Linked DNA regions of Pelodiscus sinensis. The protein of the gene in region 1 purifies or fractionates together with the protein of each later gene. This does not show direct contact. Links are inferred from orthologs where the notes say so. Each region holds a gene or a part of one and is shown on either strand. Other genes may lie near its edges.

What was found.
Region 2: the proteins of CRK (region 1) and ASAP1 purify together in Homo sapiens (affinity purification with mass spectrometry; 3 studies listed by BioGRID and IntAct, with this or other methods). This does not show direct contact. The link is inferred for Pelodiscus sinensis from reciprocal best matches to the Homo sapiens genes CRK and ASAP1.

The regions. Positions count from the first base shown.
Region 1 is NC_134731.1:1,453,145-1,460,520, reverse strand, and holds the start of CRK (adapter molecule crk), read left to right. Parts: upstream 1-4,345; 5' UTR 4,346-4,430; coding exon 4,431-4,674; intron 4,675-7,376. UniProt on the Homo sapiens protein: Involved in cell branching and adhesion mediated by BCAR1-CRK-RAPGEF1 signaling and activation of RAP1.
Region 2 is NC_134712.1:15,525,937-15,532,958, reverse strand, and holds the start of ASAP1 (arf-GAP with SH3 domain, ANK repeat and PH domain-containing protein 1), read right to left. Parts: upstream 3,101-7,022; 5' UTR 2,994-3,100; intron 1-2,993. UniProt on the Homo sapiens protein: Possesses phosphatidylinositol 4,5-bisphosphate-dependent GTPase-activating protein activity for ARF1 (ADP ribosylation factor 1) and ARF5 and a lesser activity towards ARF6.

The DNA of each region.
Region 1 (7,376 bases):
TTGGACTTAATATTTTACTTTATTTAAATGAAGTTTGATAAATTAACATGAGAAAGTTCAGGTGCTTAATCGGTTTCATAATGTAATATTTCCTTTCTTACTGGTTCCATTAAATCATTCTTCCTAGCTGCAGCACTAGCAAAATGGCTTGGGCGTAATTATGTAATTAACAGTGACTGGGGGCCTGTGGAAAGGTTTGCATTGAGCCAGGTGGGCCATGGGCCAAAAAGTTTGAAAACCACTGGCCTAGAATAATCTGAGGTGTTAACTGTCGTCTTCCCCATCATCACCAATGGCCTTTTTCTGGCACCTCCCACAGACTCCATCCCCTTCTCCTACCATGCTTAGCTGGGATGCCACTTGAATTCTGTTACCCTGACATTGTTATGTTGGATGCATATTCAGTAGGGGATGTTTCCTTTTCCCCTCATTTTTATTTCCTCACCTTGCTAATGGGGACGTGTCTTTTTCCAGCAGGTCAGTATGTCGTTGATCTCAACTTATCACGTGTCAATTCATTACCATGGGCCTTTTGTGGTTCTCGATCACATTTACAATTTCTGTCCTACCCAGTTATTCAGTCTGGTCTCAACTGGTTATGTTGGGTTTTCTAAGTAACGATGTTCCTGCGAAACGCGAGGGCATTCTTGGGTGCGCCTGTGGCATGCAAAGTCCCTCGCTTGCACCGCCATGGAGCCGGGCAAAAGGTCCCAAGCAGATGTGAGCTAACTGCTTTCTGGGTGAAGGGTCCCACACAAAACTAACAACTTTGCCTTGCTCAACATACAGGACGTGGCCTGTAGGTCTCTTGTGTTACAGCCAAACTACCAGAATAAACAATTGTTTGGGGAAAAAATACAACAGCAGCAGGGGGGTTAGCTAGAGCAGGCATTGCCCTTTAAGCATCTTTTTTTCCTTTTGTCCTTGCGGCCTAGAAAGAGTTGCACTGAACAGTGTCTTGCTTAGTCTTCACACTTGCTCTGCAAAAATACTTGCAGGGTCAAAGCCGTGCCCCCCCCCCCCCAACTGCTAATTAAAACAGTATGTAATGCTAATTTAATTAAAAACCAGTAAATGACAAAAAGGGGCAGATATAATTGTATTCATCACCTGCTTATTAATATTAATTGTATGGAAGTTAATTTAGCTAAATAAGGGTTAATGTAAAGTAGTAATAAATGGGCAAATTAACATACTAAAATAAATAAAGTCTAACTGGTGCCAAATCATTGCCACTCACAACATTGTGTTGGGGGTCCAAGGTAAATGTGCGTCAACAGTAAAGTAGTCCATTAACCCTATCTGCTCCTCTGCCGCCTGTTTCTTCTCAAACATCTGGCATTATGAACAGGATCCCAGGGGAGAGTTGTGCCAGATCATCCTGTCTCCATGGGTAAGTCTGATGGGCTCTTTACTGCAACCACTGTTAGGGATTTTATTAACAGATTGGTAGGGAAATGGGAGGAGATCCTTATATGGATCCCTCCAGGCATCTTCAGGATTGGTCTGCCATTGAGGGGTGGGTGGAGGCCTCCCTGGCATCCAGGGATAGAAAAAGGTTGTGCTGGTGCAAGCTCTGTGTGAGGCTCTGTCGTGTTTCTGAAAAAAAGTTACTAACCTGAAAACGAAAATAACTCCACAGCAAATTGCTAAAAAGCAGCAAACCGTTAACCAAAGTGTGTTGGCAGCCACAATGGCTGAAAACGCATGTTATTTTTAATTCTCTTAAGTTAATAAAACCTGGCTCTAAAGAGTCAAACAAATGCCTTAAAGCAAGCTTCTCACCCCCATCCTGTCACCCACCTCCAGAGAAACAGAGGCTAGGGACACCATTCCTACTCTTCCTGGCTAATAACCATTGATGCACCTAACCTCCATTAATCTATTCAGCTCTTTTTTGAACCCTGTTAAAGTCCTAGCCTTCACCACATCCTCTGGCAAGGAGTTCCACAGATTAAACTGTGTGCTGAGTGAAGAAAAACTTCCTTTTGTTTGTTTTAAACCTACTGCCCATTAATTTCATTTGGTGATCCCTAGTTCTTATATTGTGGGAATAAGTAAATAACTTTTCCTTATTTACTTTTTCAAAACCAGTCATTATTTTATAGACCTCTATCATATCCCCCTTCACCCTTGTAAGTCTCCTCTTGTCTAAGCTGAAAAGTCCGAGTCTTTTTAATCTCTCTTCACATGGGACCCGTTCCAAACCCCTAATAATTTTTGTTGCCCTTTTCTGAACCTTTTCCGATGCCAGTATATCTTTTTGGAGATGAGATGACCATATCTGTAACTAGTATTCAAAATGTGGGTATAGCATGGTTTTATATAGAGGAATTAAGATATTTTCTGTCTTATTCTCTATTCCTTTTTTAATGACTCCTAGCATTCTCTTTGTTTTTTTGACTGGGGCAACAACAGTTTAAAAACAGCTTTGTCATGCAGAGTAAATAACAAGACAGCAAACATGGAACTGCTATGTACTTCAGTCACCTTCCTGATTAAAATGGTTCACCTTGTCTTAAAAGACAGTCTTTTGCAGCTACCCAATTTGCAGCCAAGGGTTTTAATTCAAACACTTATTGTTTTATGAAATGTGGCTTATGAATATAAATATTAATAAGTCAAAGGTGCTTTAGACAAAATACCTCATGAAACCTATAATGTAACAGTTTGCTGGATCTGTATATCTTATTTTGGTCCGTGTATCATTCTTGTATGTGAAGTTAGAAATATGAAGTGTGAGTCTGTTTATAGTTTAAAATGTATTAATGAGAGCCATTACTGGTGTTCTGGAAGCCTAATGACTTGGTGATCAGCTCAGTGACTTGTGAGCAGCCTTATTTGTCCTAAAAGCCCAAGTGGTGGTTGGTGCTAGAAAAACAGGTGACCATACCACCTGGTACTGAAATCTTTTTTAATTCTGTTCTCCGTGGCACACCTCCGACTGCCTTGGAACACAGTTTAAGAAACACTGACTTAAATCCCACTGTGTGTACTTAGTAAGAACACTTTTGTTTACTATCAGACCCAGTGTAAATAATTGTTACCTGGAGGGAAGCAACCACTCTGCTTCTTTCTGGCTATGTCTACACTGCAGAGCTTTTCCGGGATACTGGCGATATCCCGGAAAAGCTATACCGCATCCAAGGAACGTGTCTTTTTTCTGGACAGTTTCCCAAAAAGCAGACGTGTTCTTTTGGCATCTCGGTAGTCCTCATTGTATGAGGAAGAAGGGATGTTCTGAAAGAGGAGGTTTTTCCGAAATTTGGCCCCATGCAGTTGGCCAAATTTCAGAGAAGCCTCTTCTGAAAGAAAGAAAAAAAAAAAAGCGGAAAAAGATACGCAAATTGTGCTTTGCAATTTGCGTATCTTTTTCTGACTTTTCTTTGCGGTCTGGACATAGGGTCGTAGAGGGGTAACTTTCAAACCACGCAGTCCTGTGGCACCTTAGACTATGTCTACACTACAAGGTTTTTGTGCAAAAACAGCCGTTTTGGTCAAAAACCGGTGGAGTGTCCACACCTCAAGCACATCTTTGCGCAAGAAACTCAACAGAGCCGAGGGCTTTGGCCAGCAGCGCCTCCTCTGGGCGAGGATAACTCCTCTTTGCACTACAGCTCTGGGGCACAAAGGCAGGCGTGGCAGCGGGGGGCTCCCGGAAACGCGCAGGTGCGCTGTCCTGGCCGTGCGGGGGGACGCTCGCTGGCGGCCGGCGCGTGTTTGCCGCGGAGCCCGGCAGTGCAGACAGAGCCCAGCGCCTCACGGCCGGGCCGGGCGGCTTGAGGGAGCGGGCTGCTCCAGATCTGGGTCCGGTTACCCCAACTCTGCGCCTGGGCTGGGGGGTTGCTGGGCCCTGTCGCAGGCGCTCAGCCACAACCAACGGCCGCCGCAGACCGTTGCAGTCCGTGTTTTCCCGCCCGGGCGCGCGCAGCGACCGTTACCAGCCGGCCCGCAGCGTGGGGGCGGGGCCAGCTTCCGCAGAGGCGCGCGGCGCCCCCCCCCCCCCCCCGGCGTCCAATCAGCCTGTCGCCGACCTTCTGCACATGGCGGCATAGTCCAGTCCCGCACGTACTCAGGACCTTCCTCCTGCTCCTGCCACCCGCGGCGCGCTCCCCCTCAGCGACCGTCCCCCAATGGCGGGTGCACCCGCCGCGCCAGTCGGCCCGTTCCACGCCCTCCCCTCGATGGCGGCTCTCCGCGCGCGCCCCTTCGAAAAGCCGCAGAGAAATGGCGGCCGCCCCTCGTGACCTTCCAATGGCCGCGCGGCCTGCGCGGGACGATGACGTCTCCGGACCGTCGCCCTTTTTCGCGGGCTACTTGTCGTCACGTCTGGTAGGTGAGGTCAGCGCAGGGGCCGCCATTTTGGGTGGCGGGGCCCGGAGCCGAGCGGGGGGCTTGGGCGGCGGCGGCCCGCAGCGGGAGCGGCCCCCATGGCCGGGCAGTTCGACGCCGAGGACCGGGCGAGCTGGTACTGGGGGCGGCTGAGCCGGGCCGAGGCGGTGTCGCTGCTGCAGGGGCAGCGCCACGGGACCTTCCTGGTGCGGGACTCGGGCACCATCCCCGGGGACTTCGTGCTGTCGGTGTCCGAGAGCTCGCGGGTCTCGCACTACATCGTCAACAGCCTGGCGCCGGCGGGCGGCCGCAGGGCGGGCGGCGAGGGCCCCGGGGCCCCGGGTGAGTGCGCCGCGCCGGGGGGGGGGTTGTCCGACCCGGGCCTCGCTCGCTGGGCGCGGCCCAGCCCCCTGCTCGGGCTCCGCGCGGCGCGGGGCTTTCCCGCCCCCTGCGGCAGCGCTCGCGGCGGGGCAGCCACTCGCCCCAGATCGCCCGTCGCTCGGGGATCGCCCCGCCCGCCGGAGGCAGCTGACGCTCTAGCGCTGCCTGGTCGTGGAGCGATCGCACGAGGCGTTTGAAAACATTTGGCATAGTAGAGACTTGGGGGTGTGGGGGAAAGACCGTTAAATTCCTCGTTTTAATGAGAGATTCTTGAAGGGGGGGGGGAGATTTCCTTTGTTTAATTTCAAACCTCCAAATGACCGAGTCTGAAAAGGAAATATTTGAATTGCGTAATTTAAGTATTTAAACCGGTAACCTCTCTGAGATGTTACAAGTGGATGCTAAGCAAAATTACCCTGATTTTCTCCTTTCATTTGTGGAGAATAAGCAGATGTGTTATGCCTTCTAGAATGGCTTGAAATCTGATACATGAAAATACAAGTGTCAAACTGTGTTTTTAATCCAGTCACACAATATCATACATATAGGATCAAAGAAAAGTGGTTATACTTACCGGCTGGAGGACTGTATCCAAAAGCAGTGCTTCTGAATTTAGGAGTCATGCTGGACACAAGTTCCCAATGCAGCGCTGTTGCTAAAAGGAGTAATGTGATCCTTGGATGTATAAATGGAAATATTGAGCTGTAAGATACTACTTTTGAGTGGAGGATCACTGTAACCATTATTAGAATGTGTTCCATTCTATTGGCCACACTCCAAAAAGAATATGGAAAAATTTCGAGACAGTCCAAAAATTAGTCTCTTTGCTATTCTGGAAAACCTGAAATTCAGCAAGAGTAAATTAGTTCAATGTATTTAACTTTAAGAGGCGGTTACAAGGTGAATTGAACCTGGTATTTAAGTACCTTTGGAACCAGGATACTTATTCTGGAATAAAGTCTCATGTTTGCCTGTACAGACACATCAGAAGACCCAATAAGCAGTAGGGACTGGAAGTTGAAGCTAGTCAAATTCAACTGGAAATAAGTGTAAACTTTTGTGTGGAGAAGCAGCTAACTTTGGGAACAATTTAACAAAGAATGTGATGGATTCTCTATCACTTGACTGAATGCAGTCAAAATAGGACATTTAACAAGACATCTTCTTCCAAATTCAAATACAGGTTTTTGGGTTTGAGAAATTAATACGTGAAATGTTATGGCTGGTGTCATGCTGGACGGAATAAATTATCATAATGGTCCATTCCGGTGTCAAACCTTTTGAGTCTGAATTTTCTGCACCACTGCCTTTAAAATGGCACCAGAATGGGCATGGCAGATATGCCAGCCTTTCTGCTGGGGTATTAGCTTTTGTTTTGTAGTGTGCAAGATGCTTGGATTATAGGAACATAGTAATTCTCACACTGGATAAAACACATGGTCCATCTGATCCAACGTTTGTTCTGTGATGGAGGCCGGAACCACACAATTCAGAGGAAGGTGCAAGAAAGCTTGCAATAGGGAGTTGCAAGATAATCTGCTCCCTATTAAAACTCTCACTGACTCCCTAATACTTAGAAAATAGTTTGATCCCTGAAGCCTGGCATTTTTATCAGAGATGTGAATGGTTAACCAGTAAGCTTCACCCGTACCGGGTCATGCTTACCAGTTATGGTTAACTGGGAGCAGGGCCAGACTGGAGCAGCCCCCCCACCTGCTGTGGGCAGAGGGCTGCTCTAGTCTTTCTGGGCCAATGGTGTGTCGGCGAGGCCAGAACAGCCCATTGCGGGCAGGGGACGCTTGCAGCAGCCCAGCCTATGGTGCGTGCTGCAGACAGGGGGAGGGGAGGCAATCTAGCCCAGCTGGAGCAGCCTCCATTTAAGCAGTTCACTGGTTAAACATAACCTTCAGTGGTTAAATGATTAAATGGGATTTTTGCATCCCTAACTTTTAATACTTCAGTATTTACTATTAGCAATTTAATGTCCACTCTTTTTTAGTATTTTTCTTAGTCTATGCCATTCAGTAGCAGAGTTCCATCTTATAACCTGCGGGCAGGGAACCTGGCTGGGCTGCCATGGACAGGGGCTGCCTCAGTGGGCTACTTGCTAAAAGTGAGGCTTACTGGTTAACCTTTTACATCCCTACTGCAAACAAACAGCCTTCTTTTCCTGAGGCAGGGTCACTAGAATATGGAGATGTTTTTGGAGTGGGACAGATATCACTACTGAAAAATTGGGGTCCCAAAAGGACTTTGCTTTCCTTCTCAAAAAAGAGCCTAACACACACATCGTGAGCTTTTGTGGGTAAAGCCCACTTCAACAGATGACTGCTCATCAATGTAGATAAGTGAATGAAGTAATGGGATGGAGGGGAAAGAGTACAGTACAAATGTAATATAATCCGGCACCTTTAGGACTCAGAGGGTGCTGGATTATCAGATATGCCGAACTATTGGAAGGGGGGGCTATGAGGGGTCTGGGGTGGGGGGATACCACCTCAGACCCCTCATAGCCCCCCCTTCCGATAGTCTGGCTCTGCCCCAGGCATCCCTGGTTCAGCTGCTGCTGGTCAGTTTCAGCAGCAGCTGAATCAGGGAAACCTGCAGCAGAGCAGCTGGAGTGCTGCCGGGTTGGTCTGGTAGTGCCGACCCTTGGCGCGGCG
Region 2 (7,022 bases), on another chromosome or scaffold:
ACTGGCGCTTTTCTCCGGCAAAGCCCCAAGCCGGAAAAAAGCGGCAGCCATGTTCATGCAAATGCCGCAGGGAAAATTGAAATCCCTGGGACATTTGCAATTCTGAAGTGTCTCATTCGCATCCCTTTTCCGGAAAAGGGTGCCAATGTAGACACAGCCCAGGAGAATAACTAAGGAACAAGACACAGCAGAGGGCCAGTTCCTCAACAAGTGTCAGTTGTAGTAGATCCATTGGCTGAAATTAAGCCTATGATAAGCAGTCGAGAGAATCACTAGGGCAGGATTTTAGAGCTCATTCCCCTTGAACTGCAGCTGCCTTGATAACTTTCCTGGACACTGTGACTACATGGTAACAGATTTGTCCGGCCTCCCCCTGGAGCTCAATTCATATCTTTATCTAGTCTCTAAACAGTGGGGACAGACTCGGGGCTCACTTCTCAATGATCACTGAAGAGAATCCTTCCATCTCTTTGTTAAAAAAATGTACTCCTCCATCCTGTGCCTGGGGAATTGCTCCTGCTTTGTAATTCCATACAGTGGGAATATGCAGAGGCAAATACATGCAGGAAAGAGGCATGTTTTCTTCTGGTGTTGACTATGCAGATCTAAACAAAGCCTCCCTCCTTCTCTGTATCAGTTGTGCTAGGTTTGGATCAGGTGGAAAGGAAAGGAGGGATAGTCTGGGCAGTAGGCATCTTAAATCCTCTCATTGAATAATCTGGTCTGTGGTCAACAGGGTTGTCTTGAGGGGGACACGGGACTGGGGCAACCCCTCCTCCCCCGCCAGGGCCTCAGGTGAAGCCCGGGGCACTCCCCACTGCAGGCCCCTTTTAGCTGCTATTTCACCCCCGCTCTACCCCATTGCCCCCTCTTCTGAGCAACATGGCCATGTGGGCAGCAGGAGCTGGAGCAGCCCTGCAGCCTACTTTGCTCTGGGGCGACCCCCTGCTGCTGCTATGTCAGGCCCCTGTAATCCTCCAGGTCCCCTCCCATCCATAGGGGAATTGGGGAAGCCACCAGAGAGTCCCCAGAAGTGTGGGGCCTATGGGTGGGATAGTTCAACACAGTGGTTAGGCACTTTGAAACACTTCTGGAATTCCAAAAGCTCCAGGCTTGGGCTCTACGTGTGGAATAAATGGGAAAGAACTCCAAGTACTCCTGAGTTCTAAATAAACTTCTCTTTTAAACAATTTGTTTCAGAGCTGGCTCTGGATAAAAATCATCTTGTTTTAATCACTGTGTCTTGTGGCAGCAGCGGCTCCTGCCCCAGCCACTCTGGTACTCTGACACCATTTAAAAAAATGCTTTTTCTCCTTCCTGGTATAGAAGGACCTAAATAATTTCACAGCTAGAGAATGAATGTGCTTTATTTCATATGTAGTCTGGCAGATGATGTCAATGCACTAGGCTTGTTGTTGTTATTCTCTTTTTAAACTTAGTTACTATAAATGCGGTGGAGCCAACCCCAGACACACTGATTTCAAAGGGAGAAGAAAATCCCACAACTCTGGCAGAAGCTAATTGCTTGCAGGCAATCTTGCTGCCACAATCTCTCTGTCCTCAGGGTCCTAAGTCCCCTAGGTTATTCCATCAGAACAGGGTTTCTTTGATCATCCTACGCATAGAGCCGGCCTCCCCAATGTATAGCACATAAAAGAGGGACTTCTCTCTCTTCCCCGCTCCCTTCTGCAGCCAAGAAATGGTCTTTAAAGATAGTCTGACAGCATTAAAAAAGGAAATGTTTCCTCTCCTTCCTGACAGGGAACTAACAGACCAACTTCACAGCTAGAGAATCTTTTAATGCCCATATAGCTTGCCATATGACATCAGTGCAATGGATGTGTTAACATTATCTGTTAAAACCAAGCTGCCATAGGAGCAGCTGAGCTAGCCTCAGCCACATTGATTTCAAAGGGAGGGTAGAAAATATCACAGGTGGTTGGAAAGATCTCTTTTACCATGTGGACAGGGGCAGCTTGGGGGATTCAGCATGTGTCACATGCAGCTTCTTCTCCATTCTTCACCCTTGGGGAAATTTGGGTATGGGCTTTTTGTTGCTGTAGCACCCAGCTGTTTATATTTCTGGCTGCAGGATTTTTGTGCAAGAAGCTTTTTGCAGAAGGGATCTTCCGCAAAAACTTCTTGCACAAAAGCGTGTCCACACTTCAAAAGTGCATCGCAAAAGTGATGTGCTTTTGCATAGGGGAGTGTCCACACTGCATGGATATTCTTGCGCAAGAAAGCTCTGATGACCATTAACTGAATGGCCATCAGAGCGCTTGTGCTTTTTCTGATAGGCTCTTTTTGTGCAAGAAACCCCTGCAGAGTGTCCACACTTGTCTTTTTGCACAAGAGCTGTAGTGCAAAAAAGGAGCTATTTCTCATGGGGAGAGGAATAACTCTACCAGCAAAAGCCCTCTGTCCTGTCGATTTACTGTATTTTTTGTGTGCAAAAATGTGCTTGAGGTGTGGACTCTCTGTTGGTTTTTGTGCAAAAACACACGTTTTTTGGCAAAAACCTTGTAGTGTAGACATAGCCTCTGAGAGCAAGACTTGCCAGGCCCTTAGGCAAGGTGTGTGTGTGGGAGAAGCGGCTCCATGTTCCTGGAAGGGGCGGAGTCTTAGGTGGAAGGGGAGGGGCTAGGGACTAGCCTTCCTCTGCCAGCCCTTCAGTACCTCCTGGAGCTTGCCACCCAGGACTCCAGCAGAGATTTAAGGGGCCCAGAGGAGTCTCAGCAGAGGATTTGAAGAGTGGCCCAGGTCACCTCTGGAGAGGATCAGTCTCAGAGCAATTCCTGCCCCACCTCTTTGTAAGGGTGACAGCTGTCATCCAAGCTACAGTGACAACAACGTCCTTCCCCCGCCCCCTTCCCATCTTTCTAGGACAGAGTCTTTGGTAGAAAATGAACTCATCTTAACTGAGTGATTTCTACGCTTAGAATTCAACTGGTACCAGGTGGATCAGACAGGTCCCAATACTCTGAGGCTCTTACCTTCTAAACAGGGGCTACAAATCAATAGTAGGGATGGAGAAAACTCCAATGAAGTTCCTCCTCATGCTCATGTAGATTAGTTTAATTCTCTCTTGGTCCCCAGAGAGAGACCTTGAGAAGGAGTCTTGCTGCTGCAGAGCCATGGAAGTCTCTGATGTTGCCCCTGCCTTGTGCTCTGTCCTGCCTGGCTGATGTCAGGGTCTCTCTGTGAGGTCACCACTTCCCTACCACTTTCCCCCAATAGGCTGAGGTCCTGCAGCAGGCTTTTGTGATGTCACCGTCACACCCACCTGTCCCAAGCTGGTGTCCTGATCCTGGCCAGACACTTTGTGGCTACGTCTACACTGGCCCCTTCTTTGGAAGGGGCATGCTAATTTTGAAAGTGGGAATAGGGAAATCCGCGGGGGATTTAAATATCCCCCACGGGATTTAAATAAACATGTCCGCCGCTTTTTTTCCGGCTTGGGGAAAAGCCAGAAAAAAGCGTCTAGACTGGCCCGATCCTCCGGAATAAAGCCCTATTCTGGAGGATCTCTTATTCCTACTTTCAGTTAGGGCCAGATGGGACCATTAGAACATCAAATCTGACCCCTGCTTACTCCACCCCTCCTGTATATCACAGTGGCTAAGTTTTGATCCAAGCACATCTAGTCTTCATTAGAAAACATCTAGAAATGGAGAATCCATCACTTGCTTTGGTAGTTTGTTCCAACAGTGAAGCATCCTCACTGTGAAATATTTGTGCCTTATTTCTAATATGAATGTGTCTGGCTTCACTTTCCAGCCACTGGTCTCATTCTGCCTTTCTCTGCACAGCCCTTTACTGCCCGACATCTCTCCAAGGCACTTAAATACTTCTATGAAGTCACCTCTCAACCTCTTTTGTAGAAGCTAAGCACATCGAGTGCCTTTCAGTAGCTCACAAGGAGGCATTTTTCTCCAGCCCTCAATACATTTGGCTCTTTGCTGCCCTATCTGCAATTTTTCAACAAGTTTTTAAAATGCGGTCCCTAGGACAGGCTGCAGTGTCCAATCACAGTCTCACAGAGGCTGTCACCTCCCTTCCCTGCTCACACCTCTGCTCATGTGTCTAATGATGCCTTTAGCCCTGTTCACCATCAGCTTTCATATAAAAAGTGTTTGCAGAGAAAAGGCTGACCTGACCTGGGAGTGTCCTCAAGGCTCAGAAAGCAAAGACACATAAAAAGACCCCAAATCTATCTATCTATCTATCTATCTATCTATCTATCTATCTATCTATCTATCTATCTATCTATCTATCTATCTATCTATCTATCTATCTATCTATCTATCTATCTATCTATCGCTCCTGCCAACAAAGCAGTGTTCACATGTGCATTTGCCGTGGCAAACTTTGTCATTCACGGAGTTGGAGGGTTAAGCTTCCATGAACAATGAAAGTGTTATCAGTCAGATGCAAATGTAGACATAGCCTCAGAGATAAGTACAAGGCCTGGCTGCAGGATCATGAACAGGAGACATAAGGCTTAGGAACATAAGGTGTTGTGACCCAAGGCATTTTTGATGCCAAAGGACAGAGGACACAGGCGATGCAATTTTACCAATAGACAGCATGACACTGGTCATCACAATCAATGTGAGATATTTACACAGAAGATATTTAAAGAGTTATGTAACTGTACTGAAAATCATGTTACGGGGTGTGAGTTAATGCAGATCCCCAGAGAGCAATAAACATGACTCTGTTCGGGCAGGGGAAAGTTGACACATATCTCTATTATCTGTGTAATGTGTGCCTCATAACATAAGTCTATTTGCATATTGAGCCACCAGCTAACTGAGATTCCTAAACTGACAAGAAATCACAAAATCTACGGAAAGGGACACACAGCAGGAGGGTGTCCTATTTATGACTAAGATTAAAGGATTAGCCTGATATATCAGAAGTATGTAAGAGGACACAGGGTACCCTTCACTGAAGAGATGAGCTGGTAGTGTGGTCTGTCTTATGAACTGAGGAACAACCAACGTGGCTGGAAAATGCTGCAACGACTAGACAAGATAGTATCTGGTTAATTAAGTCTAGGCACCTGTAGGCGTGCGATGATTTTATTTTACATGTAACTGTTTATTTCCAATATTCTCGTTTGCTACTTCTCCAATCTACATACTTTGTGTAGATACTTGTTTTCACTATCTTCATGTCCAGGTGATGTGTGTTAAACACGTGTGTTCAACAGAGCAACGATCTGAAGGGAAATGGATAAACTGGTGTCTGCTGTATCTTTGGGAGCACCTAATCTGTGAGTGTTAGTGTCCAGTAAAACAGGGGCTGGGAAAGCCATGGTGATGCTCAGAAGCGGGCCTGAGGCTATCGCTAACAAAGCCTGCATAGGCTGGGAGGGGTGTCTTTATGCCTCACAAAACCTGGTGCCCCCAGGGTTGCTGGAATGAGTTAGAAGCTTGACTTGCACCTTGCAAAATGGTTGGCAGCAGAGCAGTTGGTGGGAGCACCCACCTTATAGCTTTTAACCCAGGGGTTAGAGCACTGAGATTGCATGTGCGAGGCCCACTTTCAGTTCCCCCCTCAGGTGCAGCGACAGAGAGAGGAGGTGAACAGGAGTGCTCTACCACTAAGCCATGGGATGCTCCAATGTGGGGCTCCCTTAGCCTCTCTGGGGAAGCTGTTTCACTGTGGATAAATAAAAGCTTGTAGGGATTGAGCAGGGCTACTTAGCAGTGTGTAGGTTCCCACTTAGGCTGGACCCTACCCCTTCATCAGGTTTCAGAGCTGGCTCTAGCCTGAGCGGGAACACCTACCTTGTCATTTTTAGCTGTGAATTCTGAACTCTGTGAGCCCAAGCCAATTGACTGAGACTCTGAGGCCTTGTCTGAACTGCCGCAGGCCATTAACCTAAGTTACACAATTCGGCTACATGAATAGCATCAGTGAAATTGATGTACTTAGGACTGCTTACAGCAGTATCTTCACCATGGTAAGTCCACAGCTGATGCTGCCATCAACTCCATTTACTCTCCTTGTTTTGGTGGAGTACTGGGGTCAATGGGAGAGCACTTGGTGACTGATTTATCACATCTGTTCTAGACAGGGTACATTGACCCCAGTTGGATCGATCTCTGTGTGTCCGTCCAGCCTATAGTGAAGACATGCCTTGAGACTCAGTGCTGTGGGTTTTCCTTTGCAGTGTAGACCTACTCTTAGGCACTTGAATCTGAGACTTAGGTTCAGAACTACAAAGGTGCTTAGGTTCCTAAACACCAGACTTGGGCACCTAAGAGCTCTCTGGAAAAAAACATCATAAATAAAACAAACATTAAAAGAATGTTAACATTGCACATTCCAGATCTCTAAATTCAATTGATGCCATATTTAAGGGCCAATAGCCATTAGGCATTGGCATTTTTTCATGGTATTTAATTGCATGGTTACCTACTATTTTTTAAATAATAGAGTCACACCTGTTTTGCTGTAGATACTGTTATGTATTGCTTTTATCAGCCTCTTCTCCTGACACTAATTCCTTTGCCAGAATAGTCCAATATCTCTTTCTTAACCTGGAGTTTCCATATAACAATCTCTCTGCTCTGGAAGGTGCAGTACATCCTCTGATAATTTTGTCAACACCAACTTTCCCATTTTAACCAGCAAATGTCCTTTCTTAGGTGCAATTCAGGCACTGTAGGAGTTAGCTAGGAGGCAGATTTAGCTGGGCATATGTGCAGAGCAGTGTTCTTTAGTAGCATATAGCATACTATATGTACAGCTCACAAAGGACATTTCATGTGACACCCCTAGACTCTTTCTCAAACAGAGAGTAGTACATGTTGCACGCATGCTAGATGTGTATAGACGAGTGCAGATACAGATAGTATGATAATATTGCTCCTGATATGAGAAATAGTATGTGCTCATGCCATAACTGACTGTATCATATATATTCACACAAAGGGGGAAATGCTTAGGTTAAACAGGCAACATTAACAGTGATGTTAAAAGTGTAGAAAATGCCTAGGTGTTTTTCTTCC